3 linked regions of the Oryctolagus cuniculus genome follow. The protein of the gene in region 1 purifies or fractionates together with the protein of each later gene. This does not show direct contact. Links are inferred from orthologs where the notes say so. Each region holds a gene or a part of one and is shown in the gene's direction. Other genes may lie near its edges.

What was found. Proteins that work in one complex are often made in the same cells at the same time.
Region 2: the proteins of CD84 (region 1) and SH2D1B purify together in Homo sapiens (affinity purification with western blotting; 3 studies listed by BioGRID and IntAct, with this or other methods). This does not show direct contact. The link is inferred for Oryctolagus cuniculus from reciprocal best matches to the Homo sapiens genes CD84 and SH2D1B.
Region 3: the proteins of CD84 (region 1) and SH2D1A purify together in Homo sapiens (affinity purification with western blotting; 4 studies listed by BioGRID and IntAct, with this or other methods). This does not show direct contact. The link is inferred for Oryctolagus cuniculus from reciprocal best matches to the Homo sapiens genes CD84 and SH2D1A.

Annotation. Positions count from the first base shown.
Region 1 is NC_091438.1:38,326,924-38,337,677, forward strand, and holds the start of CD84 (SLAM family member 5), read left to right. Parts: upstream 1-5,727; 5' UTR 5,728-5,826; coding exon 5,827-5,872; intron 5,873-10,754. Other genes in the region: heterogeneous nuclear ribonucleoproteins A2/B1, read right to left, coding at 3,424-4,482. UniProt on the Homo sapiens protein: Self-ligand receptor of the signaling lymphocytic activation molecule (SLAM) family.
Region 2 is NC_091438.1:36,331,628-36,341,853, forward strand, and holds part of SH2D1B (SH2 domain-containing protein 1B), read left to right. Parts: intron 1-2,491; coding exon 2,492-2,555; intron 2,556-4,713; coding exon of another isoform or gene 4,714-4,810; intron 4,811-5,890; coding exon 5,891-6,050; intron 6,051-7,628; coding exon of another isoform or gene 7,629-7,666; exon of another isoform or gene 7,667-7,743; coding exon 7,744-7,802; 3' UTR 7,803-10,226. UniProt on the Homo sapiens protein: Cytoplasmic adapter regulating receptors of the signaling lymphocytic activation molecule (SLAM) family such as CD84, SLAMF1, LY9 and CD244. In SLAM signaling seems to cooperate with SH2D1A/SAP.
Region 3 is NC_091453.1:102,153,413-102,163,638, forward strand, and holds the end of SH2D1A (SH2 domain-containing protein 1A), read left to right. Parts: intron 1-2,821; coding exon 2,822-2,954; intron 2,955-4,337; coding exon 4,338-4,378; 3' UTR 4,379-6,085; downstream 6,086-10,226.

The DNA of each region.
Region 1 (10,754 bases):
TGGGAGACCCGGAGGAGGTTCCTGGCTCCTGGCTTCAGATCGGCACAGCCCTGGCCATTGTGGCCAGTTGGGAGTGAACCTCTCTCTCTCTGTGTAACTCCAACCTTCAAATAAATAAATAAATCTTTAAAAAAAAAAGACACTGAATCAGATTTTTAGCTCTTAGCAATTTCATATTCTTTCTCTGTATGTATTTGATACATGATAGAGGTATGTTTTTGCACATATAATAATTACATATTTCAGAAGACACGCTTGCTAGAAATGTAAAATAATATGGTTTAATCTTATGAAATAAAATGCCATTAATTTGGGAAATTCCACTTTTATTCCTAATCTTTTTTTGGTCTCAAACAGCTGGTAATTTCTTTTTTTTAAATATTTATTTATTTATTTGAATGTCAGAGGAAGCCAGGAGCTTCCTCCCAATCTCCTATGTGGGTTCAGGGGCCTGAGGACTTGGACCACCTTTCGCTGCTTTCCCAGGCCACAGCACAAAGCTGGATTGGAAGTAGAGCAGCCGAGACACGAACCAGTGCCCATATGGGATGCTGGCACTGTAGGCAGCGACTTTACTGGCTATGCCACAGCACCAGCCCCGGTAATTTCAATACACCAACATAAAGGCATTCAACTATCCAATAATGAATAAGAGTAAATGGGAAATGATGAAGAGTTTTTTTTTTTTTAATTTTTTGACAGGCAGAGTGGACAGTGAGAGAGACAGAGAGAAAGGTCTTCCTTTGCCGTTGGTTCACCCTCCAATGGCCGCCGCGGCCGGTGCGCTGCGGCCGGCGCACCGCGCTGATCCGATGGCAGGAGCCAGGAGCCAGGTGCTTTTCCTGGTCTCCCATGGGGTGCAGGGCTCAAGCACTTGGGCCATCCTCCACTGCACTCCCTGGCCACAGCAGAGAGCTGGCCTGGAAGAGGGGCAACCGCGACAGAATCCGGCGCCCCGACCGGGACTAGAACCCGGTGTGCCGGCGCCGCTAGGCGGAGGATTAGCCTAGTGAGCCGCGGCGCCGGCCTGAAGAGTTCTTTTTTGAAAGATTGATTTATTTATTTGAGAGTCAGAGTCACACAGAGAGAGAAGGAGAGGCACAGAGAAGAGGTCTTCCATCCGCTGGTTCACTCCCCAGTTGGCCACAATGGCTAGAGCTGCGCCGATCTGAAGCCAGGAGCCAGGAGCTTCCTCTGGGCCTTCCCACATAGGTGCAGGCACCCAAGGACTTGGGCCATCCTCCACTGCTTTCCCAGGCCATAGCAGAGAGCTGGATCAGAACTGCAGCAGCCGGGACTTGAACTAGTGCCCATATATGGGATGGTGGAACTGCAGGTGCCCTCTTTACCTGCTATGCCACAGTGCCGGCCCCTAAACAGAATTATTTAAAGACTTGTTCCGGAGAATCGGTTTGCTTAGAATCAGTTAGTCAGCATCTCCTCTCAGTGAGAAAAGCTGTACACAACTCTACCCACCCCCACCCCCACCCCCAGAACTCAAGCACTGTGTCCCCAGCCTTCCCAGCACTCCTCAAAACAATGAGGCCCAAGATCAAACTTCTTGGCTCCTGGACCCAAATATTTATTCCCACCGCCACCCCATGACACACCCCTGCACAGAGAAGGGCATTCGCTCTTATGGTTGGGACGTGGGCCATTGCTGAAGAACAGTCCCATGTTACACCTGGCTTAATCCCTCCTGAGTGTGCTTCCTCTGCACCTGCTGCTGTGCATGTCTGTGTAGTGCAGGCTTCAGCAAATAACCTTCTCTGGCTGTTACCCCAGTTCTGTAACTCACTGTGTCATCCTGGGAAAAATCACAGTTTCCCCAGCTACAAAACAGAGTAGATAGTCTAAAGAATCCCTTTCGATTTTAAGTCTTATCAAAGGTGTATTGTGGGGGCCGCACTGTGACATAGCAGGTAAAGCTGCCGCCTGCAGTGCTGGCATCCCATATGGGTGCTGGTTCGAGTCCCAGATGCCCTACTTCTGATCCAGCTCTCTGCTATAGCCTGGGAAAGCAGTAGAGGATGGCCCAAGTCTTTGGGCCCCTGCACCTGTGTGGGATACCAGGAAGAAGCTCCTGGCTCCTGGCTCCTGGCTCCTAGCTCCTGGCTTCAGATCAGCACAGTTCCAGCTGTTTCAGCCAACTGGGGAATGAACCAGCAGGTGGAAGACCTCTCTCTCCCTCTCTCTCTCTCTGCCTCTCCTCTCTCTCTGTGTATAACTCTTTCAAGTAAATAAATAAATCTTTTTAAAAAATACACTTTGTTGGGGCCAGCGTTGTGACACAGTAAGTTAATCCTCCACCTGCAGCGCCGGCATCCCATCTGGGCATCGGTTCTAGTCTGAGCTGCACCTCTTCCAATCCAACTCTCTTCTATGGCCTGGGAAAGCAGTGGAGGATGGCTCAAGTCCTTGGGCCCTTTCACCCATGTGGGAGACTGGAAGAAGCTCCTGGCTCTTGGCTCCTGGCTTCGGATCAGCACAGCTCCAGCCGTTGCAGCCATTTGGGGAGTAACCAATGGACAGAAAACTTTTCTGTCTCTCCCTCTTACTGTCTGTAACTCCACCTCTCAAATAAATAAATAAAATCTTTAAAAAAATGTATTGTATCTCTAAAAAGTATAATAGTAATCATATTTATAAGTATATAATTATATATTGTTATCTGTCATATACTTATAATGTTTTATATATTATAACTATATTTATATGATACTGGATCTTATATATTACCATAATTGTATGTTTTTTTTTAACTTCTGTTTAATGAATATAAATTTCCAAAGTACAGCTTATGGATTACAATGGCTTCCCCCCCATAACTTCCCTCCCACTCACAACCCTCCCCTTTCCCACTCCCTCTCCCCTTCCATTCACATCAAGATTCATTTTCTTTTTTTTTTTTCTTTAGAATTTATTTTATTAAATCATAAATGTACAACAGCTTCTTAACTCTACACACGCACTTAAATTTTTTTAAAGGAAAAACGTTATGTCTTATTACACCATGATCCTGGCTAATAGCTTTTCAAAACTTTGAGAAAAATCTTAAAAAAGGTTTCACATGTCACCTGAAACTTACAAATTTAACATTATCAAAGGAATGCTTCTACACTCTTACAAAGACCACTAGAAAGAAACAACAATTAAAAAGCTAAGAAACTGTCTCAAAGGCATTTTTTTTTTTACAATCCTTCCTCCACAGTAAGGTAATGTTATTAAATAATCCAATCCATTCACAAAATGGCTCTCTGCATCTGCTCTGGTGTCTTCTGCCATATCACTGCATATTTATGCATGACTGAGATAAGAGTTTCCTTAACATTTGTTATTTCGATAACCTGAAGCTGTTCTGTTACCTCTGGGCTCTCATCCTCTCCTATTTATACAGTGAAGCCCAAGGCAAAGAGAAGAAGCTCAATATCGGCTCCTCCCACCATAACCCCCACTTCCTCCACTGCCTCCTGGACCATAGTTTCCTCCACCATATGGTCCCCCCATGTTTCTGCTACCACCAAAGTTTCCACTCTTCATTGGACCGTAGTTAGAGGGTTGCTGGTTGTAATTTCCAAAATCATTATAATTTCCACTTCCGTAATTTCCTCCTCCATAGTTGTCATAACCACCTCCGTAGCCCCCACCCTGGTTGCCATATCCAGGTCCTCCACCACCATATCCTCCTCTTCCTCCTCCATAACCAGGGCTACCTCCAAAATTGCCACCTCCAGGTCCTCCTCCATACCCATTATAGCCATCTCCAAATCCACGTCCACTTCCATATCCATCAGATCCTCTAAAATTACTTCCTGGCCCTGGTCCAAAATTCCCACCACCACCACGTGAATCTCCAAAACCAAAGTTACCTCCTCTTCCACTCCTAGAACTCTGGACTTCTTGCATTTCTTGTCTAGACAAAGCCTTTCTTACTTCTGCATTATGACCATTGATGGTGTGGTACTTTTGCAATACAATTTTATCCACAGGATCATGGTCATCAAAAGTAACAAAGCCAAAGCCTCTTTTCTTCCCAGACTGCCTATCAGTAATTATTTCAATGGTATCAATTTTTCCATATTCTTCAAAGTAATCTCTAAGGTGATGTTCCTCAGTATCTTCTTTAATTCCACCAACAAACAGCTTCTTCACAGTTACATGAGCCCCAGGTTTTCCAGATTCTTCTCTTGCTACAGCACGCTTTGGCTCAACCACTCTCCCATCAATTGAGTGAGGTCTTGCAGCCATGGCAGCATCAACCTCAGCCATGGATGAGAAAGTAACAAAACCAAATCCTCTTGATCTTTTGCTTGCAGGATCCCTCATCACCACACAATCTGTAAGTTTTCCCCATTGTTCGTAGTAGTTCCTCAAACTTTCTTCTGTGGTTTCAAAGCTTAAGCCCCCAATAAAGAGTTTACGGAACTGTTCCTTTTCTCTCTTTTTCCTCTCCAAAGGAACAGTTTCTAAAGTTTTCTCCATCGCGGACTCAGTCGCCTCAGCCCGATTTCCCGCAGCCGAGCGAGATGAGAGAGATCTCCGCGGACGAACGCGAGCCGGACTCGTCCTGGCGCCGGGCTGAGCACTGCCGCAGCTCGAGAAACAACACCGCCTGCGAGCACCTCCGCCCGGGGCCCGGCGCTGCTGCCGCTGCTGCCACTGCTGCTGCTGCTGGAGCCGCTGCCGCCGCTTTTCTAGCAAGATTCATTTTCAATTCTCTTTATATACAGAAGATCAGTTTAGCATATATTAAGTAAAGATTTCAACAGTTTGCACCCACATAGAAACACAAAGTGAAAAATACTGTTTGAGTACTAGTTATAGCATTAAATCACAATGTACAACACATTAAGGACAGAGATCCTACATGAGGAGTAAGTAAGTGCACAGTGACTCCTGTTGTTGACTTAACAAATTGACACTCTTGTTTATGGCATCAGTAATCACCCTAGGCTCTTGTCATGAGTTGCCAAGGCTATGGAAGCCTTTTGAGTTCACCAACTCTGATCATATTTAGACAAGGTCGTAGTATATATTACCATATATGTATATATGGTATATATCACCATAATTGTGTGTTGTTAATATGCTAAATATTAATTATAGTAAATAATTTCCATAAGGAGAAATAATAATGATTATATATATCATTCTATTTGCTTACAATAAAATTAATCTATAATTTATCTTATATAATTACATAATTCTATCAATTTATGTAATGTTAATGATATAATATTAATTACTACCACTTAATAAGCTCCTACCATGTGTTGAGACATTTTTCTTCTTTCCTATCTACCACCAGCTTTTGCCTAATAATGCTAACTCACTCTTTAGGTCTTGTTCAGCACAGTTGTCCGTTCCTTCAGGGAGGTTTTGGCAGCTCCCTTTAGCCTGGGTTAGATGCCCCTGCCACTCCCATAGCTCCTTGTATTTCTCCCATGGCAACATTTATCACACTATATTGGAGTTGCCTGTTTGACTGTTGATCCTTCCAAAGAGATCATAAGCCCCACAAAAAGAGGTCAAGCAATTACTGTGTTACTCTTTATTTTACTAGTGCCCAGAATAGTATCTGCCACATAGTAGGTACTCAATAAATATTTGGATTTTGTTGGACAAATACTAATTAAGGCAAGGCACCTTTTAAGTTATCTAATTGGAAAAAATTAGCATAGCAATAAAAAAAACAAGTCTTCCTAAATCAGTTAGCTCACACTTCCTTTCTTAAACGTGGCTATAAAAAGGAGCAAGAAACTCAAGCAAAACAGTCTCTGCCAGCACAGAGCCGCTCTGGTGCAGACATTTAGACCCCAGAAGAAGATGGCTCTGCACCACCTATGGATCTTGCTCCTTTGCCTGCCTATCTGTGAGTTCTGATCTTTGCTAACCCCTCCTAGTTTTCATTGTTCTAAAAATTACATTTGGGAAGACACTGAAGTGTTGCTTTAATATGTTTTTAACGTAATGCCCTAAGTATCAGTATATTTTATACTCAAAAGAAAACCAACTGACTGGGAAGAAGCTAAAGACCTAAGCCTAAGTGGTTTTCAGTGGTAAGAGTTCATATTTCTGAATTTTATCTGTGCTACCTCCAAAGCTCTGAGATAAAACTATCTTCTCAGAAGAAGGGTTAGCACTTGGTAAACCCACTCCCCAAGCTTGACAAAAACATTATCCAAAACATTGAATAACTAAAAGCAATTTCTTTCTGGCACTAGAGTACAGTATATGGTTTTTCAGAAATATTTTCTTCCTAACTGTGTTTCATTGTTCTATTAAGTTAGAGTGATGTATCACATGATCATTGTAAAATCTCATCTCTAAGCTCTGTTTATTTTCAAAGCACATTCCCAGCTACTAGCCTACTTTTATCCCCCCAAAAACTCTCTAAATTAAATTGAAGAGATCTTTATCTCATTTTTACGAATAAGTTAACTATCAAAAAAAAAGAGGTAGGGAGCATTAAATTAAAATTAAACTAACTTTAAACCCTTGTTTTTCTTGCTTATGGCTTAGTAGCAAACTATAAAGGACAAAAATGAATATTGGTTGTTATTAGTACAAACTATGTAATATTAAGATGGCATGGCATTATTATCTCATCAAATTCAAATAATTTTCCTGGTTAGACAAAAACTCACCATGTTTGAAGTCTCTGAATCTAGTTCTATCTAGTTGGTATCTCTTACCAACTCTGGAAATATAGTAGAAAACTTCTGGCATGAGTTAGAAGCCAGTGAATGTAGAGGGTTAGGATTTTCTGAAAAGGTAGAAACAATACCTGTGATTCCTCTTGTCCCCTTGGCAATTTAAAGTTGTGGCTCCTTTTATTTTGATCTTCATGGTTTTTGTAACCATGAGCTAAGGCAAGGCTCTGGAGCCAGTGAGATGGTCACCCTTGTGAGGCAGACTGAAAGTGCTACATGGAGAGATGAACTGGATCTAGGAATACCCCTAATCTTTCAGAGAAAGACTAGACAGAATTTTATACCATTTAATTTGTAAGGTATTCTGTGAGTTTGTGCTTATATTCTTGCTATCTATAGAAAACCATTAAAATAGAAAGCTAGATGTGATTAATTCCATTATGTAAAGAAAAAATAAACTAAGATTCTGAAGTTTAAAATTTTTCCTGAAATTTCACCTCCTGAAATTGGTAGAGCTGGAGACACACCTTTACTCTTCTCATCGCAAAGCTAGAGGTCTTTCTGCTACACCTGACCTCACTCATTAAGTTTTAAAATACCTGATGTTCCGCAAGGGCTAGCACTGGTTAAGACAAAAGGCAGCTCTAGTCACTTCCCCATGTACTGAAACTGAAATGAAAGCAGTGGGTTCAGGTAGTAGCTAACCATTCACACTCATCGGCTTTATGACCCTAGGAAAGTTATCTAACCTCTCTCACTTGGTTGTTTCCATCTCTAAGTGGGAAAACTATTAATACAGTAGGGTTATTTTGAGATTAGAATAATAATGCATATACAGCACTTGGCAAAGAACAGGAACATAAACTGCTTAACAAATATTATCTAGTTCTATTGTTTTTCACACTTGCTTTGCATGCATTATTAGGAATAGCTGTGGCTTTATAACATCAAAATACTGGGCAACCCAAGCAATGTGAGCAGGAGGAAAGGCGGTCAGAGTTTGAGCTTAAGTATGGGCTGACAGCATACTGGAAAAGAAAACCAGGGGAGATATTCCTTTTATCAGGGACCCATGAAATAGGGAGTAGAGACTTGTATTTTGCTGGCTTGTTTCTGATGGTTTATTTTATTGTTTTGGGTTTTTTTTTTTTTTTTTTGTTTTTTTTTTTTTTTTTTTTTTTGAGAGAGAGACAAGTTACACACACAGAAAGGGAGTTTCCTTCGATTGTTTTACTCCCTAAATGCCCTCAACAGTTAGACTGATCCATGGCCAAAGCCAGAATCCAGGAATGCAATCTGGGTCTCCCATATGGTTAGCAGGATCCCAATTACTTAAGCCATCAAGGCTGCTTCCAAGGGTCTGTATTGTGAGTAAACTGGAGTCAGGATCTACAGCCAGGAAGTCAAACCCAGGCATGACATTATGAAACACAGGTGTCTTAACTGCTAGGCCAAATGCTCACTTCAGGGCTTACTTTCATAGAAGAAAAGTCAGAAGTACCTTCCATATCATTTCCCTTTACTGATGTATCTTTTTGCCTCATGTATCTTTCCACAAACATTTCCTTATTGCAAAAAAATATATCCTAAATTTCTCCTGCAACTATTCCTGGTAGAGGTGAGCCCTCATTTTTAGTGCTAGGCTTAAGAGTCAACACTGATTTTGTGCACCTCTGTAGAATTCTCGGCAGAAGCAATTAAAATTATTTGGAGAGCTGAATGTAGAAAGTCTCACTTCCCCCTAAAATAATTAGCATAAGGGAAGTTCAAGTGTGGAAACTCATGACTCCTCTGTATAAGGAAATTTATTTCTGGGCACCAAGACTCACAGTCTTATGTTCTGATCTCAAATTTATCATCATAACATGGAGAACACTGACTCTGACTGTACTTCCACTTACCCTCCTAACCACTCACCCTTGGATGATAGAAGATGAAAGAGTGCACTGCCTTTGCACCTGACCCATTCCTTCCTCATGAAGTCAGAGATTTCACAGTTAATTCTTCCTTTTCTCCATGGCTTTCATGCTGTTATTTCTGCAACTCCTTCCCTTTGCACCTTTCTCCTCTCTCTCATTAGTAAGAGTAATCAACCATGTAAGGAACAATCACTACATGTCAAGCATTACTCTAAGCAGTCTACTGTATTGAGACAATGGCTATCATCTCTAGTCTTCACCGTACCCTAGGGGATGTGTATTATCAGGACACTTATTTACAGATGGAGACATTGATAATACAAAAAGTGATGGAGGTAGGATCTATACTTCAAGGTCCTTAGACTTAATCAATTCAAGATGCTGTCTCCACCCACTTTGATGCTGAAATGGAGTAAAATACTGTCTCCATTGTAGATGGTTATCACAATTGGGAATTTATCAGTAAAGAGTGATGATTTATTTATTCCTGTCAAGACTATTTGGGTAGAATCTGCACCTGTCTGTACACCCCCTGTAGAGGGGGATGTGTCTGGCAGGCGGCTCCTTGTGAATTATAGAAGTTTAGGCAGGCCAAAAAGGCAGAACAACCTAGGCAGTAACCATCTCCAGACAGTTCAAGTACCATTCACACCCGTATTATTTGGATTGATCTGAATTAACTACTTTAAAAAGCATAATATCAAGATGGTCTTGCTGTCTAATTGGATGTAGACTAGTCATAGGGTGTTCCAGGAGTCAAAACTTGGAAATCCAAAAGGTGAATTGCCCACTTGGATATCTGTCCTTGGAAATTAGACACCAGATGCTGACAGAGTCTACCTGTCACTGGTATGAAATCCTTGCAGAGATGGGCCTTCAAGATGAAGACAAGGCCTCTATTCCAGAAAGAGATTTGAGCAGAGAGCTAACACACTGAAAGGGCTCAAGAGCAGAAGCCCAGATAAAGAAATGGAAAGCTGTTGTGTAAGGGGGGAAAGCTAGATATCAAGATATCAGCTCGCCGGCGCTGCGGCTCACTAGGCTAATCCTCTGCCTTGTGGCTCCGGCACGCCGGGTTCTAGTCCCGGTTGGGGCTCCGGATTCTGTCCCAGTTGCCCCTCTTCCAGGCCAGCTCTCTGCTGTGGCCAGGGAGTGCAGTAGAGGATGGCCCAAGTGCTTGGGCCCTGCACCCCATGGGAGACCAGGATAAGTACCTTGCTCCTGCCATCGGATCAGCGCGGTGCGCCGGCCACGGTGGCCATTGTAGGGTGAACCAACAGCAAAGGAAGACCTTTCTCTCTGTCTCTCTCTCTCACTGTCCACTCTGCCTGTCAAAAAAAAAAAAAAGATATCAGCTCTAGACTCAGTTTCCAAATTGAGGCTGGGACATTGTGGCCCAGTAATCCTGTAATGACACAAGAGAAAGCAGAAACCCAACTTGCCAGCCCATTTTGCTGAAGCAGCCCTGGAGGTCACTGTGGTGACCAGCAAGGCATCCAGAGTACTTTCACAGCAGGAGTTCTAGGCCATTCAGCCCACTTGGGTATTCCAGAATCAAACCTTTCTTGTCTTAGACATTGGAGGGGATGAATCTGCAAGGTTGGGGCTAACTAGATTCATCAATGTAGAATTTGGAAAAGAAAGAGAAATGAGCAATCATTAGGGGAGTCAGTACTAATGCTGGTGGAACTGTCTAGATACCCATATTTCTGTTATCAAACTCAGTGTTCAATTATATGCTAGTGGAAGGGAGCAATGACGAAACAATGGATGGCTGTGACCTTATATTTGTTTTGAGGTTTTTATGTGTGTATGTGTATATTTGCACATGTCTATTTGTTTTGAAACAACCAATTTAAGTCAATCCAGATCTCAATAAAGATGATATAAAATAAAAAGCTTCAGGGGGAAATAGAATATAATTGTATGGAGGGGCATGTAGTGCCAGCATCCCATATGGGTGCCAGTTCAAGACCTGGATGTTCCACTTCCAATCCAGCTTTCTGCCACGACCTGAGAAAGCAGTAGAAAGATGGCTCAAGTGCTTGGGCCCCTGCACCCTCGTGAGAGACCTGTAGGAGGCTCCTGGCTCCTTGCTTTGGACTGGGACAGTTCTGGCTGTTGTGGCTACCTGGGGAGTGAGCCAGCAAATGGAAGACCTCTCTCTCTCCCCTATCTATCT
Region 2 (10,226 bases), about 2.0 Mb from region 1:
CTCTGCTGTTGCCCGGGGTGGGGGTGGGGGGCTGTGGAGGATGGCCCAAGTGCTTGGGCCCCCTGCACCCACATGGGAGACCAGGAAGAAGCACCTGGCTCCTGGCTTCAGATTGGCATAGTGATGGCCATAGCAGCCACTTGGGGAGTGAACCAACAGAAGGAAGACTTTTCTCTCTGTCTCTCTCTCACTGTCTATAACTCTACCTGTCAAAAAAAAAAAAAAAAAAAAAAAACCCACAAAGGATTGAAATTTAAAGTCAGTTGCCAACATCTCCAAATAATTAGTGATGAATTCTCCTAAATGGTGTTGGCTGTATCCTAAAGCTGAAAGTAGCTCCCTGGCTCACTTATTAATCTTTTCACTCTTTAACATAGATGCGAGGAGGGAAAAGACTCACCCTATAGTGTGAATCTCATGTCAATGTCTTTGGTTTCGTCTTTTTACATTGTAATGTCGTACCTGAGCAAGTGTAAACAAAGGAGCATCACACACTGATAAAATTCGATGGTCCTTATTGCCGGCGGTGGAGAGTGGGCTCATGCCCTAAAGAACTCTCGACCCTGAAGCCCAAAGCAACAGGGTTATAAAGGCAAAAACCACAAAATCGGGAGGGGAATACATGGTTGCTAGGATCGGGGGGAGTACATGGTTACTGGTGGGGTCAAGCTGAGCTAAAACCTATGAGAAACTAGTATCAATTATAATCTTGACAATACCAGTTACAATCTTAACAATTCCAATTATAATCTTGACATTAATCCAGGTATTGGTTTTAATCATATGTAAGACATAGACAAATTACATTTTTATTATTAACCCAGGTGCAGCCTATCCACTTCCAAGCTTGAGCGATCATGTTAGGGGGTTTCTATGCTCTTCCAAGTGTGATGTAGTGGGCTGCTCTTGTTCAAATGTTTTAGATCATAGTTTCAGACCAGAGTCTCGGGGGGGGGGGGGCACCTTCCCAGAATGGAGTCTCAAGTGCTCCAAAATGGAGTCCCTACTGTCAAGGTGTTACTTCAGTAATATTTATGTGAAATCAGAACCTGTACAGGAGTCCATGGAGATGTTTAATGCATAATTTTTCTCCTGGAAGAGCTTTATTAATTAATAAATTAATAATGTCTCTTACCATAGATGACATCTTGGAGTTAAAGAATTATAGTAGTTTATGCTATTTCTTTTTTTTTTTAAAGAATTATTTATTTGATTGCTTCTCAGCCTTTTAGCTAAGATCAAGTGTAAGAATTATTTATTTGAAAGTCAGAGTTACACAGACAGAGAAGGAGTGGCAGAGAGAGAGAGAGAGAGAGAGAGAGATGTCTTCCATCTGCTAGAGGCAGAGAGAGAGAAGTCTTCAATCTGATTGGTTCACTCCCCAACTGGCTGCAACAGCCGGAGCTGTGACGATCCGAAGCCAGGAGCCAAGAGCTTCCTCTGGGTCTCCCACACACATACAGGGGCCCAAGGACTTAGACCATCTTCCACTGCTTTCCCACATGCATTAGCAGAAAGCTGGATCAGAAGTGGAGCAGCCAGGACTCGAACCGGCACCCATATGGGATGCCAGCACTGCAAGTAGCAGCTTAACCCACTACGCCACAGCACCAGCCCATTTATGCTATTTCTTGCTTTGAGTTGCAAGATTGGGTCTATTATCTAATGCATGATTGGATTATTTAGCCAATGGCTGCTTTTCTAATGAGGAATGAGTGTACAGTAAATCAGTTCATCAGCCTAAACTCCCAGTATTCTCTCCATGAACAGCACTATCTCTGATGAACCAGTGACAAGACATTCAATGAGCAGCATGACTCACCCATGTTCTGCATGTTCGATCAACTTCTATCTTAGTGAAAATAACAGAGAGAAGTACCAAGACCGTGGGAGGTGTAAAATCTCTCTTCTTATCCTCTTTGCTAGCATCCAGACCTCCATATCAGAATAAGGGTCCCCATTTCTTTATTTTTTTTTATTATTTTTTTGACAGGCAGAGTGGACAGTGAGAGAGAGAGAGAGAGAGAAAAGTCTTCCTTTGCCGTTGGTTCACCCTCCAATGGCCGCTGTGGCCATGCGCCGGGCGCACGGCGCTGATTTGAAGGCAGGAGCCAGGTGCTTCTCCTGGTCTCCCATGGGGTGCAGGGCCCAAGCACTTGGGTCATCCTCCACTGCACTCTCGGGCCACAGCAGAGAGTTGGCCTGGAAGAGGGGCAACCAGGACAGAATCTGGCGCCCTGACCAGGACTAGAACCTGGTGTGCTGGCGCTGCAGGTGGAGAATTAGCCTATTGAGCTGCGGTGCCGGCCTGAGGGTCCCCATTTCAAAATCTAGCTCATTAAAACTCCCACGGATGGAAGGGCCTGAAGATGGTCACTTTTCGTTTTTGGAATCCAAGATTGACAGAGGCAGTGAGTAGACAACACAGTAGGACAAGTTACCTGGATTTGGATATAAGAACGTTGTGATTCACACAGTCTTATTTTCACAGGTTTAAAAACTTTGTCTACACATACCGAATCTTCAGAGAGAAACATGGGTATTACAAGATAAAGGTAAGAACTATAAGGACTCCTGCAACAGCTAAAAGGTGGGAGAGAAGAATCTGAGATCGTCTCCTGAACCTAGAAAGTGACCACATACAGACATAGTAAAAGGGAAGTGCCATGTAGCACCAAGACTCAGAACAAGGGTTAAGCTTGTCTTTCTATGAGACAGAAGATTACTGGAATTACGGCCGCTTTTACCCTGGCTATTACTCAAACGTGTGGAGGCACACAACTCTGGCTCCTCCAGCAGCCAGATGCACTCACCCGGACTCCATGCGAAACCATTATTGAATTTGGAAGCTAAACAATGAAGCAGGATAGGAAGGGAAGGTGGGGACAGTCTGAAGGTTTTGGAAATCAAGTGTATTCCAGTTATACAGAAATATAAAGGAGATCATCAAACAACCGGAAGGATTTGATTCATTTTTCTACCGGAAGCTAAGCAGAAAAATCTTTTTGTTTCTTTTGAATTTAGTTATCTGGTTTAAGAAGTAAAATATAATAAATGTAAACATTTTAAATTACTTATAGAAAATACTAAAATAATCTTTCTGAAACACTTCCATAAGAAGTTCATTAGATTTTTTTACAAGATTTCTCTGAGACTTCAATATGCTGATGGGCATTGTGAATATTTGCAAGCAACCGGAATGAACAAGGCTACCCAGACAACGTATTTGCATCTATAATGTTTCTTTTTCCATATATCTGGGGGATATTATTGAAACAATCAGCAAAATTCTGAAATGATCAGCAAACACAGGTTGAGCATCTCCCAAACCTGAAAATCTAAAATCTGAAATGTTCTGAGATCTAAAATGTTTTGAGCATGGCTATAACACAATTGGAGAAGTTTCCAATTTGTTTCACCCATAGAATTATTTAAAACGTTATATAAAGTTACCTTCAGGCTATGTGCATAAGAAACATAAATAAACTCTGTTCAGACTTGGGCCTCATCCGCAAGATGAGGTATTCCAAAATCCCAGTGCATCTCAAATCTGAAACACTTCTGGTCCCGAGCATTTTGAATTGAGGATACTGAACCTGGGGTACTGCAGCAAGGCTGATTCCTGGTTTGAACCACTGCAGTATGGTTATAGAACGTTCTTACATTTTTTTGGAAATACTAAAGTATTTAGGGCGAAAGGGATATTTTTCCTGCAATTTAAAACTCAAGAAGTGTTTTTAAAAGGCTACACACCTGGGTATATGTACATTTATCATTTTTGTGTGTGTGTGTGTGTGTGTATGCTTATAAAGCGAGAATAAAATTATAATAAAGAGAATAAACATTTGGGTTGTGAGTAAAGAATCTATATAGGTTTTTACAATTTTTTTTTAAAAGAGATTTGTTTATTTGAAAGACAGAGAGGGAGGTTTCCATCCAGTGCTTCACTCCCCAAATGCCAACCAGATCCAGGGCTGAGCCAGGGGCCAGGAACTCCATCCTGGACCCCCAAGAGGAGAGTACCTGGGCCATCTTCCCATGTACCTAAGACAGCTTCCACTGCCTTCCCAGGTGCGTAGGCAGGGAACATTAGCAGAGTCGATAGGACTGGATTCAACCCTCCAATACGGGATGCTGGCATCACAAGCGACAGCTTAACCCACTGTGCTACAACTCCCGCTCCTTCACTCTTTCTGCAAGTTCTCTACATCTGAAATTGTCTCACAATAACAGATCTTGTAAAGAGCAAGGGATTTGCCGGCGCTGCGGCTCACTAGGCTAATCCTCCGCCTTGCGGCGCCGGCACACCAGGTTCTAGTCCCGGTCGGGGCGCCGGATTCTGTCCCGGTTGCCCCTCTTCCAGGCCAGCTCTCTGCTGTGGCCAGGGTGTGCAGTGGAGGATGGCCCAAGTACTTGGGCCTTGCATCCCATGGGAGACCAGGAGAAGCACCTGGCTCCTGCCATCGGATCAGCGCGGTGCGCTGGCCGCAGCACGCCAGCCGTGGCAGCCATTGGAGGGTGAACCAACAGCAAAGGAAGACCTTTCTCTCTGTCTCTCTCTCTCACTGTCCACTCTGCCTGTAAAAAAAAAAAAAAAAAAAAAAAAAGGGCAAGGGATTTCAAAACGCTTTCTCTTTGCTGTGCTTCTTTTGGGAAATTCTGGATAATCCCTCAATGCCCTGTTTTGTCTCTGACCTGGAAAACACGGAGCAGATCCCAATCAACGACAACTCAGACGCAAAGAGCTGTTTCTTCAAAGGGCAACTGCACTGTGGCCAGAGGTCTGCGGCGGATGATGCTCTGGGTTCAAGTGAGTGCATTCAGGGGACTTTCCTGCAGCAGCCACAGTGTCAATCTCCATGTCAGTCATGTCAGTCTAGAGGTTAACCAGACCGCATGCCAGAAACTGCTGCTCTCCGTGGCCCAGCCCGGTGGCTGCCGGAGAACCACAGTGCATAATCAAGAAAACCAAACACATAAGAGCAGAGAAAGCCAGTTCTTTTTGTTTTTAGGTTATTTCTATGAGGTCTTATTACAAAATAGTCCTGGATGAACAGCTGGTAAGCAGCATACCACCATTTCCAATTTAACTGAGTTGTGGTGATGTTCGCCGTTTCAGTTTCAATTGGGGCTTTGTTTGCCTGCAGATTCTGAATTGATCCAGCAGGTAAGTCACACACGTCCCTTTCCCACCAGAAGCCAACCTCTGTTCATTCCCTCAGGCAGCAAAGCTTGCCAACAAGGCCCAGGGTCTGGCAGTGTGTCTACACCAAGAGCGGCCCTACATCCACTTGCCATGCAGACTGCAAACCCAGCCAGGGATCCACTGGCTGGAAACCCTCTTTTCTCAGAGTAGTTCTAGTCAGAGGTCAGTCTTGAAAGCAAGGACTCCATGGCCAGCACTGCGGCTCACTAGGCTAATCCTCCTCCTGCAGTGACGGTACCCTGGGTTCTAGTCCCGGTTGGGGTGCCAGATTCTGTCCCGATTGCTCCTCTTCCAGTCCAGCTCTCTGTTGTGGTCTGGGAAGGCAGTGAAGGATGGCCCAGGTGCTTGAGCCCTGCACCCACATGAGAGACCAGGAAGAAGCACCTGGCTCCTGGTTTTGGATCGGCACAGCGCTGGCCGTAGCGGCCATTTGGGGAATGAACCAACGGAAGGAAGACCTTTCTCTCTGTCTCTCTCTCTCTCTCTTACTGTCTAACTCTGGCTGTAAAAAAAAAAAAAAAAAAAAAAAAAAAGGCAAGGACTCCTGTAAACTGCAGCTGGTATGAACTGCTAGCCACTCTGTCAGCTCCGTGTGGCATCCTTGAAAGTCACTGTTTTGAGAAGTGTTAGGTTTCGCACACACTTGCACTAGGATAAGCGGTCTCCTTTCTTGTACTTTTGCAGACTGCAGAAGGGACTCCAAAACAGGTCTTTCCAAGCCTAAAGGAATTGATCTCAAAATTTGAAAAACCGAATCAAGGTCTGGTGGTTCAGCTTTTAAAACCAATCCGGAGAAGAAGCTTCAACAAGAAAAGATCAAAACCAGAGTTGGATGCTATTTATGGTAAAAGCTTTCATTCAGGGTCAGGAAGGAGCTTTAACCCCACTTCCACCAACAGCTTGCTTTGTAGAATCAATGCAAAACAAATACCGTTTTCTGTGCCACTATCTCTGAAAAGCTTCAACCTGCTAAGAGCAATTTCTGTTGAGTTGAGAAATGAGGTCTTCTAGGCCCTGAAGGTGGCAGGTCACAGAGCTTTCTGTCCTTGGACAGCCCGGATAGCAGGAGTGCTCACTTCGAATTCATTCTGTAACCTTGTGTCAACAATTAGCCTTTGGCAATTAATGGACAAGTAGACAGATATGCAAATAGGAGGAAGCACTTTCAGGCTTTCCCAAGGTTCATCCTGTTACCTTTTGATCAACATTTGCTAAGCATTCATGTATAAAGTGCTAGATGACAAATTACCTCAGATACATCTCTAAAGGTGGTAAGTCTTGGTGGAGGATGAGAGACAGCCAGGAAACCTGAGTACAGAAAATCCGTAGTGAGGACCCCCAAATCACATCGCAAGTAGCGATTCTTTCTTCCTCATATTCTTGGAATCTTCTCTCAGAAGAGAAACTAGGATGTGTCATTTGCAACACAGTCTGAATTTAATGCAGACTTCCAGAGGCATGTATGTGTAATTCTGTTTTCTCATGGTGAACTGTATGGTTACCTGCTCAATGTGTTCCCAGTCACCAGTGGGCAGGTAATGATGATGAGAGCAGATGGTCTAGCTAACAAGGACAGAGGACAGAGAGTTATCGAGGAGTTTGCAATCATCCCAAACCTATTCTACTCTGTCTTCGCCAAAGTCACCCTTCAGGCTGCCACAGTGAGCTTCTCACCTCCCTAACATGAGTAAGCATGGGGTTTTAACAGTTAAAACAAAAGCCCTTCCCAATCCTTGTTTCTCTGTCCCTGCTCTTGCCAGTGCAGAGGTTAGTGCACCCATGTATACACAAAATCACTTAGTGTAGGTCCAGCTTCAAATGGAGTCCCATGGCCATTTTCCACCAAAACTTGAAGAACAAGAACCAAAAAAAAGGCAACAGAGTTAGAAATCCAGGCCTGTACCTGTACTGCAACCTTTGGGCTAGCCCAGATGAGCTGATGGCATTGGTGGGGGCTGTTGATGGCATTTGTCTTAGCAATAAGAGCAACACAAACACCCGGAGGCCCCTCAGCGCTCTTGCCTAAGAATTGGATGAGATTCTCAAGCCCAGTTCCCCGCACTGGTCTGCACTGGCAGCCTCAGCTGCAGCAGGGAAATACCCTACCATTGTCCTCATCTCCTTCCCCCTTCCCTTTGCCTCCTTAGAATAAGCGTCAGATGTTCTCCCTCTGAGAGACGCCCAGGTTTTCTGCTGGTGAATGGAGACACCTGGGGTGGAAATTCTAAGGATTCGATTTTAAGAGAATCCCCTATTTTACCAGGAGAGTTCCCTGTGGTACCCCGGCTGCCTCTGAAGATGACACTGTGATGTGGCTTCAAGATGGTGCTGTGTCTGGGGAGATGTCTTCTTTCCTGGAAGGGGTTGGTCAGTGTGGCCCCTGCTGTGGAGTCTCATGGCGTGTCTTATGCTTTCCTCCCAGAAAACAGTGGCCATGATTATGTGCATGTCTTGCCTTGAAGATATGGAGCCTGGACAAAGCAAGTTCAAGAAGAAATGAGGTGGCAGCTCTCATCTGGTGATTCTCTCTCCTGCAGGTGTTAAGTCCAGAATGCCAAGCTCCAGTGGACAATTCAGACTTTCCTGGCCTGGGTAACTGAAGATCTTCTATCTGCCAGCCCCAGAGAAGTCACTCCCCACATCCCTGCTTCCCATGTGTATTCTAAAAGCAGTTTCCAGCCAGCCCCCGCCACCCCATTCACCTCTCTTCCTTGTTGGAATCAGACAACCTGGACCTACTCTCCTTGCCTTGTTAAAGGTCCTACCACTGCTTTGTCACGATTGTTACTCTCCTTCTGACAAGCTGATCAGAGAGGGGTGCACACTTGCCATTGTGATCAGAGCCATGAGTTCAAGCCCTGTGGCTGCCTTACTTTGGAAAAACTTCACCCCTTCTCTAGGTCTTAGTTTCTTCATCTGTAATGCAAATGGTTGGGTGGGATGATGCACACTGCCCCAAACCCCCTGTTGGACCTGGTTGTATTGTGTGAATTTGGGGAAGTTGGGAGTGATGGAAATTTATACAGCATCAATGGGATCAGGATCTCAGCTGTCACCTTCTGCGTAGCTGTCTGTGTTGGTCTTGGTCATGGTGAGGGCCTTGATCCACAACACACACCCATCTCCAGCCAGGTATATTTTCTCTCTAGCTCTGCTCCTTTCTAATCTTGATCTTCTTGCCATCAACCTGGACACACTTTCTTCCTGTTTCTATTCAAGCACCAACCACTTCAGCAGTAGTTGTACAGCATTGTAGTGTAGTTCTGTACAATGATACATACTCCCCCATTTGTGATTTCTCTTCCCTTCGAGGTTCTCAGTGTCATCAAAGCATGATTGGATCTCCCCTGAGCCTTCCACAGCATGTAGAAATATGTGTTGCATACAGACGTGTCTCGTTCCTAGAGACTATCGATTGGAAGCACATCTCTGAAAAGTTTGTTGCATTGGTAAAGCCCCTTCAATTTTTCTACTAGTTCAAAATGGTAATCAAGACCACCTTCATTCTGAATGTACCAAGTTCTATGCCGTTTCTCTTGCCATCTTCAAAACTTAACGGTTCACTTCACTCCACTGGTTTTCCAAGTTTATTGAAGAGAGGAACTCTAAATTTCCAGATAACGTGGACAGGAACTGTGGCTGGGGCCCCAAAGTATGAATAATTTAGAATTCCTGGGTCACAGCAATCCATGGTTACTACAAAGACAAGGAGTGAAATGCCATATTCAGAGAGCTGTGGAAGCCAAATCCTTCTGGTCAATTCAGTAAAGGATGCTGGAAGCAAGCCTGCTCCCTGGGATTCAGTTCTGTATCTTGAATTCTATATACTAAGAAATATATTCCAGTTTCTAGAGCCTAGAGCAATCTTTGGCACATAAAATATATTCAATGAGTATTTCTTGAGTAAGTCAGTATATAAAATGTTGCCTTTCTGGATAGCAGAGGTTTGTTTAAACTTTATTTACTTCCAAATCCAGTGGCTCAAGACTATTAGTTCAGGATCCAATGATAACTCTCCTAGAAGTATTTTTTTTTTCTTTTCTTCTTGCGCACCTGTGCAAAGTACCTTATACAATGCATGGCCTCCAGGAGCTTCCAGTACCTTTCTCAAATGAACAAGGCATATTAGACAGCTAACGTTGACATTATGCTATAATGCCAATAATCCTTGACATTTTTTAGAAGACCTTGGACAGCTTACATGAGGAACCACTGAAAACTCAGGTTATATGGGACTGGGAAAGGAAAAACAAATTATTCAAAGCAATGCCAAGTGTTTGAAGCGCTGTTCTATGAAAGTGGATGTAGACTCATTGGCTACAAGGACAGGCAGCAGAATTCAGACCAATGGATGAGTGTTTCTAGCAGGGCAGTTTTAGCCAAATGTAATAATGAAGACTGAATCCACCAGAGCTATTCTGCATCCTAACAGTCTGCTCTGTATTCTGGTTCCAGTGAGGAGGTGATATTTTCCAAGGATATGGGAAAGATAATCTCTGTCTTTACAAGAAGTTAGACTGCCTTACTGCTAAGGCATCTTCCAACTCAAGGAGTCTCAGGTTCTAGTCCCTTAACAACCAGACTGGGATATCCTCCCTTCCTTTCTGGATTGATGTGTGGAAAATTGATAATTCTTACTCACCACAACCATCAGTCCATACGTGAACTCTATTTTGTTTCATTTTTCTTCCCTTCATCCCTAACTTTCAATGTTCACCCATAGAAACCAGCTATATACATCTATACTTGATGTACGTTGTTGTATATGTATGTGCCCTTATAGAATATACAGTATTGTTTTTGAATTTGTATCTTTGGCATTTATGTACATAGTATGGTACTATTGCTCCAATTCTGTTACTACTTTTTTCAAACAATACTGTTTGATTCTGTTCCACATTATTGAGTGTACATCTAATTCAGTGCCTCTAACTGATGCATGGAATTCCATTGTGTGTATCCACCATATTTTGCTCATCTGTTACTCTAGATATAGATACTGAGATTGGTCCCAATTCCC
Region 3 (10,226 bases), on another chromosome or scaffold:
TTAAACTTATGTGTATTCTCAGAGCTCGTACCACCTGACTGGAAGAGATTTCTCTAGAGCATATTGAAGACCAGCTAGGAGCCAACACATATTTCCATGAATAACCAAGAGGTGACAGTAGGAGAAATGTGCACATTTGAACAATAGCTGAGCTCAGTGACAGGATAGGAGCTGTCAGTGATACAATTCTTGTGGTAAATGCTTTTTCAAAATTGGGTAAATGATAGATATTTATACTAGTTTTTTTTGTAACAACTTTTTAATTTGCCACACTGCAGGAAAAATCATAAGAGTAGTACTCTAATCTCTGTCTAAAGATTATGCATAACATCTGGGAAAGGCTGAGATTTGTTTTAAAATTGAATATTGGATCCACTGAATTATGAAAAATGTTACATATTCTTAGATTATTGCATAGTGTATTAAGTTATCCCATGTGACTCAAGTTAAAATTTTACTAGATTTTTTTTAAAAGATTTACCTATTTGATAGGCAGAGTTACAGAGAGAGAGACAGAGAGGTCTTTCATTTCCTTGTTCATTCCCCAGAGCTGGGCTGATCTGAAGCCAGGAGCTTGTTCTGGGTCTCCCATGTGGGTGCAGGGGTCCAGGCACTTGAATCATATTCCACTGCTTTCTCAGGCCATTACCAGGGAGCTGAATGGGAAGTGGGGTAGCGAGGACTCAAACCGATGCCCATATGGCATGCCAGAGCCACAGGTGGAAGCTCAACCTACTACGCCAAAGTGATGGCCCCCTAAAACTTTACTAAATTTTTAGAGGATTATACACATAGTCAGCTATCCTTTATTAACATGTGCATTGGTTTTACATTGTATAAAATGTACTGGCCGCCCCTTGCTGACCCAGCCTGTGTTTTTTTTTTATATTTGATCATCAGATCAGTAGATGCTAAATAATTTTACTTATTAACCTAAGCAAAATGCTATAAATTCAGTCACTCATTTGCCAATGAGAGATTGCATCCCAAATCTGAATTGCTTCTGTACAGCTGGAGCTATTATTCCTCTCTGTTGGCATGGATAATTAAGTGTTAACTGGATATCAGTACCCAGAAAAATAATCCTTCTCTTGATAAATGGTTTTTTACAAGCCACAAGGACAGTCAAAAGATATGTGGTTTGCCTTCTTTTGACACTGAGGGGGTGTATGATTTCTCTTCTAGTTAGTGATTGTAGCTTCGTTAGCCCCTGTTTGGTTTAGTCCTAATCTGAAAGGCAAGAAACTGTGTCCAAAGATCCAGAGCCAGTTCTGCCTGCGGTTGTCTACATGAATGACCTTGGGCAAGCCGATTAATTTCTTTGTGTTTACATTTTCTCATCTGTCAAAATGGAAATAATTGAATCCACCGACAACTGCCAATCTGTGAGGAAATAGAGGCAGGGGATGGGAAACTGCCTTGAAAATTAAAAAAGTATGCTAAGGAAATTGTAAGAAAGTATTTTTGTGGCCATGGCCTGCATTTGCAAATTTGGAGGTGTTACCTTGGAGGCAAAGAATTGTCTTGACCTCCGAAAGAAAGGCTATCTTATTCTGGATGAAGTCTCAATGGAGTTTTAGGCAGGGGTTTGGATCATTGTGGAGTTCGGTGGGAGAGGGTTTTATGTCTACTGAGAGTGTATGGTGCACAATAGATGAGGGCTAAAACAAACTTTTGTAATGTTTTCAGTGAAAAATCACCCCAGTGTAAGACATGATCAGAGTTACTATGGAGAGTGTGTGAACTCCTGTGAGCGCTGGCGGACAGAAGTCTGTATCCTGGCCTTCGTGGTTTCTCATTAGATGCTAAAAACCAAACAGCTTCCCCCTCAAAAATCTTCCAGATGGAATAGCTGAAAAACAACTTTGTTAAAAAAACAAAAACTAGCCATTGTTGAATGGCTCATAGCAATACTATTTTATTTCCTGTGAAATGACAGTTCCGAGCTACTGCCTAAAGCATGGCTCACAAGCTTTTGCAGGAAATAGTTGTTGATTTCAGGCACTGTCTTTGCAAGAGAACTGATGTCAGGAAAGGAACGCATTTTAATAATTGCCTGCAAACACCGCTCTCTTTAAAAAGAAACAAACATATAAACCTGACCTTTATAGAGTCTTCTATTCTCATGTCATGGAGAAAGCATTGTCACAGTGCAGTACTGACGGAGACAGCCATTTTGGGGAGAACAAGGAAGTTTCCCAAGGAGGAAACAATTTCATGTGAAGGATGAAGCTGGACATATTTTCAGGCTAAAGAGTATGAGGGCTAACTACCCATGTGCTTCATGTATTGCAATAGTCAAGTTTTAATTTCTTGCACAGTATTTTATATCATGGAGCTATGACAGGGCGGATGGGCTGTAGGGGTTTTTTTGGGGGGGGGAGGTTGATTCCTCAGGTTTTTTGTTAATGACCTGTAGTGTATGTGTGCTTTTGTGTGTGTGTGTGTGTGTGTGTGTGTGTGTGTTTCCCTTCATTCCCTGTTCGTGAATTCATTGTGGGTAATGGCCTGTAGACCCTTAGAGGTTCAGGATGTATGATGGGTAGCAGGCAGGAAGGGCAGAGCGAGGAGCAAGAGCTTGTACAAACTAATACCACCCTTGGGAGAGCTTAAATGACAGCTCATTAGCTCCCCTTGTAGGGAAGTTCAGCCAACCAAAGTAAGCTCTTTCGGAATGTTGTTTTTCTTTCCTCCTTATGTTTTCAAATATTTAAACACGTTACACAAATGTTACCTCTCTAAGCCCCACTTGCACATTTTTTAGGCCTTTTTGTATCCATATGAGATAAATAAATAATTTGCTTGGCCTTTTATTTTTCAGACAGCACCTGGGGTACATAAACGATTTTTCCGGAAAATAAAAAATCTCATTTCAGCATTTCAGAAGCCAGATCAAGGCATTGTAATACCTCTGCAATATCCAGTTGAGAAGTCCTCAGCCCGAAGTACACAAGGTACTACAGATTTGGGTTTACTATTATTTTTTGACAGGGCTTGGAAGTTCAGGGTTATGTATTAACCTATTTATAACAATACAATCACTTAGAAGTTCTTCAGGAAAGATGCAATGAGAAAGTAGAGGTAGCTGGAAGATCAAGTGAGTGGTAATTATGTGCTATAGTTTCAACATGCTATACTACAAACTTTTAATAAAGCTGTGCAAAAATGTCAACAATTCTGTAAACCCACTACATTTTAATCCCTATTGTTCCATTTTATTCTCCTCAGTCCCTTTGTAGGTATGTAAGTCCTATTTCACTTTACTAATTCAGACACTAGCAATTTGAAAGATGGGATACTTCAGGGAATATCTCGGCTGTTCTTTACCTTTGCTTAGTAAACTTTTTTTTCCCCTTCAGGGATATAAAGGCTAATGTTACTTGGTCTATGTGATCCTGATGTCTGAATTGGTACTGCTTAATTAATGAAATTTTATTGTGGTAAAGAAAATTAAATTAGTGGACTTTATTATTCCACTGGCACAAACTGCTATAACTCCTGAGCAAAGCTATTTTAGCTTGTATGTCAGGCTAAAATGAATACCTGCAGATGCCTGTAATGGTCTGAAACGTGACTGTATGCCTCTATTGAAAGGGGTAAATCATAGCCGGTGCTGCGGCTCACTAGGCTAATCCTCTGCCTGTGGCGCTGGCACCCCTGGTTCTAGTCTTGGTTGGGGCGCCGGATTCTGTCCCGGTTGCTCCTTTTCCAGTCCAGCTCTCTGCTGTGGCCCGGGAGTGCAGTGGAGGATGGCCCAAGTGCTTGGGCCCTGCACCCGCATGGGAGACCAGAAGGAAGCATCTGGCTCCTGGCTTCAGATCGGTGCGGTGCGCCAGCTGTAGCAGCCATTTGGGGGGTGAACCGATGAAAGGAAGACCTTTCTCTCTCTCTCTCTCTCTCTCACTGTCTAACTCTGCCTGTCAAAAAAAAAAAAAAAAAAGAAAGGGGTAAATCATTTGTTTGGAGTAAGAGGATATGCCTTGATTGAAACAATAAATATTTATGATAAAAGAAAATGAATCATTATGTCCTTTTAATTTTTTGACAGGGACTCAGGCATAAACTGACAATTAGACTCAAGTGGCAAATTAAATTAATGAATACTTAGCCTTAATAATGGAAATATAAATAGAACTCTAATTGGCTAATTGTTCTCTTCTGCCCAGTATTCCATTCTTCAAAACTCAGTTTTAAATAATAGTTGCTTAAGGTGTATCATCGTGTTATATTGTTGTAAATTTTATACAGTAGGAAATTTGATTATACATTTGAGTTAACTTATGCTGTAAATAGTTTGAATGCTTATCTTTTCTTGAGTTTTGTTATTACTTTTTTAGGGAGAAGAGAAGATCCTGATGTATGCCTGAAAGCACCATGAAGAAAAAGAAAACACCTTGTACTTTATTCAGTAATTTAAATATATGCTAAGTCTTATATATTGTAGATAATACAGTTCAGTGAGCTACAAATGCATTTCTAAAACCATCATAGTCCTCTAATGGAAGCATCTAGCCTGATGTTCAAGCTGAGATGGGCTTTGTAGATAATGAAGAGCTTTGAAATGGGGATTGGAAAAAAAATAATTCCCTAGGTTATCTTCAGTTATTGTATTTACAAATGGGAAACAATTTAAAGCACAATGAATACTTTATAAGAGATTGATATCAATTCTTGCCAAATACAAATAAAAATAATACTCAGTTTTTGTCAAAAGCACCATTTTTAGTGAAATATTATTTGAGAGTTACCGATTTGAAATTGTTTCGCTTTGACTGTATGGAGGGATGTTGGTTAGTAGCCTTCATCTTTGGCATATGCAGTTCTCCATTAGCTATGGTGTCATAGGCTCTTTTGGGATTCATGAAGCTGTGTACTGTTTGCTAAAGTAAGGACTAGAGAAATAGCAAAGCGTTTCTGTTTAATTCTGAAAGCCACCTTCTTGCCTAGTGTTCTGATGTAGTACAGTAATCATCTACATACTAATGTGGAGTTGAAAATCCCACAATTAAAAATATGCTCTAAATATTGACTATATTTGATGCTCCGGGATTTAAACTTACAAATCCGGTGAAGTGTACTTTTCATCTTTTAGTTTGCCTCTGTGCAGGTTGTTTCCACTACACGTGAAACCTGATTTAAAGGGCAACCTCAGCAGCTGCAGGTCTTCCAGTAAGTCATGCGGAAGCACCTCCCTCTTAGGTATCCCTAGAAGCCCATTGGAAAGCTTACGGTTACATTAACTTTTAACAATTCCAAGTGATTGAAAGCTAAGTGAGAGTCTGAATTTTATGCAGTATTTTCTTTTCACATTTGTATTTGCATGACTTGAGTGATTGATTTTATGTTGGGTTGCTTCAGGGCTCATTGAATTGCTTCAGCCAACAAACATAAGAGGGCACGGGGCGGTGGGTAGAGAAATAAAAACACTTGATCCCTGTCCTTGGATAGCTCACTGTCTAGTTGCACAAGAAAACAACAATAAAGGTGGATAAATACATGATAAGTGAGATTCCCCATGTGTAGGTAGGTCTGCCTTTAGAGGCAGAATGAAGTAACAAATACTGTGGTTTCTGGTCTACTGGAAAAGGCTGAGCTTTATTGTGAACTAATCAATTGGGGTTCCAGGTTGTACATGCGTGTTGGTGGGCTTGGTTAATAATTAATGGACTGCTGAGAGACAGTACTACTCCCCATGTGCTGTCAAGGTCCGATTTGTGAACACTGAACATCGACGCTGTGGGAGTGCACAAGGTGGAGTACAGTCACGATAAGGTATAGGGCATGGTTTGCTATTTCTTGAATTAAGAGCATCACTTTAAATTGTAAAGGATTCCAGAAAGCCTACTTTCTAGACAAAAATGCATGTGTTTCTTATTTTTTAATTATTTGAAGCTTGAGTTTAAGTTATAAAATGTGTAGCTAATTTTTACTCTTGAATGTGCTCATTCTGGATTAATCCTAAACACATGAATCATGTTTGCATGTGCTTTTATGAGAGCTTTTTTTTTTTTTTGAAAACAGCTATCTTGAATCATTTATGGTCTTCCACATTTTAATAAAGTGTTTGAAAGCTTCATTTACCTAATTTGTCTTAAAATACTCCTTTTGAAAATATGCAGAGCAGAGGCTATTAATAAAGGAAATAAAGCACTGATGAAGGCCATCTTACTTATCTTATTGAACAGCTTCCCTGGAAAGGTAAGTGCTTCTCTGATTGTGCTATTGTCAGATTTGCCAGCTGATGAGCCCACCCCCTGTCTTCTTCGGCTGGCCTTTTATTCATCAACTTTTTTTCCCTCACTTTTTCTTTCCCAACATGCACAACTTGCTGTTTCCCAGTACATAATAGCTTGCACCTTTATAGAGAGGTCATATCCTTGCCATATCTAAAACATTGCCATGCTAACCTATACCTGTAAGATGCTGAGTCAAGATAGAAAAATGCACATGTATTTCCAAGCCTACACCTCTCTTTGGAGAAAAAAAGTGTGTCAGCAGGCCCACCAGGAGCATGACAGCTTATCAAATACTTGTTCATTTCCTCTGAAATTTGCTCTCACGAGATAAGGTGAGTGAGGACAAGCTTAGGTAATTGTCTGTTTGGCTGTTACAGACAGGGAACCTTTGTTCATAGGTAGAATGGTGCATATGTAGAATAAGTCTACAGAGAATGCCTTTGATTAAGTCCTCCGGTGTAAATAAAAGGCTGAATTTAAGATATTCTTTGGTAGAATAGATGGAAAATTAAAATGTGAGAACTAGCTATAAAATCTGTTAAGAATGTTATAACATCGGCGTATATTTTATTTGATTCACTTTATTGAGTTCAGAATCCAAAGTCTATTAACAATAAAATACAGATTTGCCCTTAAGCACGTCAAGGTTATAAGATGCCTAGTCTTCTTGTTAGGATGCTATAAATTCAACTTTACCACCTATGTTTGCCCTTGTAGTAAATGGGTTACCATCACCTTGCACTGTGTGGCTAGAAGTGAAGTGAAACTACTCACTGTGAACACTTTCATAATTTGGAGTCTTGGCCAAACTTGTAGTAAAAGGCTGAATTCTTACCAATAGGTTTATAAATGAAGACTTTTTTTTAACGTAGTAAGATGTAACAAGCCTGATGAACAGGATAAAGCTTATCAACCTAACATATATGTCTTGATTGCATATATACATACACATGCAAACACACAGAAATTGAACTGTTCTCTCACAAGACAGCAAAAGGCAATAGCATATTCAATACTGGACAGAGAGCGTAAAAGCAGGAATGCATGAGACCTGAATTCTCTTTCCAGCTTTGTCATAGATTATCTATGTGACCTTAAGTATGTCAGGCTCTGAGGAATATGCCAGCCAAATAGGAATAATGTATCCTCACAGATTATTAAAGAACTGCAATTATAAAACTTTAAAGTAGTAACATTGATAAATGTTTAATAGCATTGATATTCAAAGATTTTTAAAAGGGAAAGTGAATAGAGAAGAAATGCGGAAAAATCTCTCATTTCCTGTAATGATTCTGTCAGTGTAGGACCTCTTGTCTTTTTTTAAAAATACTGAGGGTGGGGTGAGCTGCACATTTTGGAGAAGAAATTCCCAGGTGATACTAACACCCTAGTCTCCCCCCACACGCCCTGCTGTTTTGGATGATGGGTTATGTTGAGACAATCAAGGGTGTTGTCAGCTCCATGACTCTCCTCACTGTACCTGTATATCCCTGTATCACTGAAGAACACAGCAGGAGGGCGCTGTGAAGTGGTATAAATTCTAGCATTCCAATCAAATTTCAGCTAGGGGCTCTCGGGATTACATGTGTCCCCCTAGTAGCAGGTTAAAATGTTGAAGATCTGTTTGCTGGCTTTCCGGCATCACTTGTAAATACAACTTCATGTGGAAAATAACTCCCATGGTGACTGTAATTGCCTGGGATGCGGGGTCTTACAATGACTGTTGTTTTTATTCATCTTTCGTGGTTGCCCCTCTCAACGTCTTTTTTTCTTTTTCTTTTTGCTCATGTATTTGGGTGCCCTGGTCTCCTAGCTCTCCCTTATCCCTCTTTTATGATTTTTAAAAAATTTCCTTTCTATTGCTAAGAAGGCAGCAGGAGGCACTGAACCCTTTGGAAAAGTCATAGCCTAGAGGCCTTTACACTTCCAGCAGCTACTCTTCTTTGTTTATTAAACGGTCATTTGTGTCCGAGATCATATTTACATGAGACATCAAAATGAAGAGCCGTCTACCTGGGATCAGGGCCTCTCTGCAGCTACGTTTTCAAAATGACATGGTTTCATTGTTCCCTGTTAGGGAGCCACTCACTTTTCCTATCTCGGGTGACCAGGCTGACTTAAAAATGCAGTTTGGCGCATGAATAAAATGGGACACCATTTTCATTTGCAATTTTATTTTTTAAAAATGAAATATTCAAAGTACTTTTCTTTCAAATATCGACACATAATGTTTTACTTTAAATATTTACAGCATGTTGTTGTGATGCTCTTGTAGAAAAATGCATGCTTCTGGCCTGAAAGCCAGAGCAAAATGCAAAAGACCATTTAACTGCAGCCAGAGAACATGAACCTGTACAGTATCCAGTCACTTTTCAGCACAGGAATGAGAGCAGGAATACAAAATTGGAACCTATTGTTTCCTAGCAACATGGCTCAGGCCATTGTAACACAATTTCAGTATGATTAGAACCTCTAACTGTTGTTATATAGAAACTGAAAATGTTGGCATACACTGTAAACATCTTTACTTTTCATGAGAAAGTAAGCAGCTAAAAAGAATATTTTTCTGACAAAAAGGCTATACTTCTCTTTCTCTCTCTCTCTCTCTCTCTCTCCCTCTCTCCCCCTCCTTCTCTCTTACTGATACTTTCACCTGAAGAATAGTAAAGATTTAGACATTGTCATGATTCATACAAGTAAAATATTTTCAAGGACACAATCTGATAGACTAACATTTATTTAAGAGGTTAAACTCCACCACTAAATCTAAGGAAAGATTTTTAACTGCCAAACACATTTCCTTTGACAAATAATGTAAGATGACAACTGCCAAGACAAAATCCACAGCAAGTTTAACTCTAAATATTTTGTTACTGTTTAGGAAGTAACTTCTTACACACAGTAATATATTTGGTCCTTAAGAGCTTTCACATGAAGGACACACTGAAATAATAGTCACTATTTTGTGATTGAATTCTTTTTGTTTGTTTTCTGTGTTTTTTTTTGTTTTGCTTTTTTATTTTTTGTCTGTTTTTTTGTTTGTTTGTTTTTATTTTCTTTGAGAATAAAGAACCTTACAGAAGGCTGTGGAAAAGCAGTGTGAGATCTGAAGTACTAGTCAGGTCAGCTATGTGTATGTGAGTTCCAACAAGAATGTTGTGTACAATCTGTAGCCTTATGTGTTTTCCATAAGCTATAATACACTCCAATCTCTCTGAAAATTTCTATCAATACTTGGTTACTGTATTTTGGCTTTCATTTATATCAAATGCCATTATAATTGCCCTTCCATGAACATATCTTTATAAATGCAAAAACTTTGCCCTTTCTCAGGTGATATTACAGTGGGGCCTGGTCTGGTTAAAACATATTTCTAAAAGAGGAAAGAAAGAAAAGAGTCAAAGTAATATGATGGAGTGCCTGAAACTGTGTCAATAGTAATGAAAAAGAAACTCCACATGAAAATCATAACGTAATCTTTACCTCTCTGTAGGCAGCAAGTGAATTCCAAATTATACATTGTCAAGTGTTCATACATTTGGCTATGTTATGTATACTATGTTATATATGTGTAGTTTATATATTATAGATCTTCTAGATAAACTGACAGTAAAGACGCTTATTTTATACATAATTTTGGGGGGTTAAAATAGAACGTAGACTTATTTCTATGGTGTTTTGTTGAAAGTATGAATTCAGCTTTATTTCCTTGCCTTCTGCAGTCATGCTTCTAGTCAATTATGATTAGAATGACAACTACAAACAAGCATATTTAAATGTTTGTTAGACTTTGAATTTTCAGCTCATTTGGATCTCTAGAATATAGTGCAAGAGTAAAAACAAAACAAAGTAGCACAAATAAAATAGGCCTAACGGAGAAAAAGAACAACCGTGCAGTATTCCCTGCCTCCATCCCGCAGTGTTCTTCATAGGAGAGTCCAACTGCTGTGCTCTCACTTTAACTTACTTGAGTGGTGTGTGGCTGTGCAG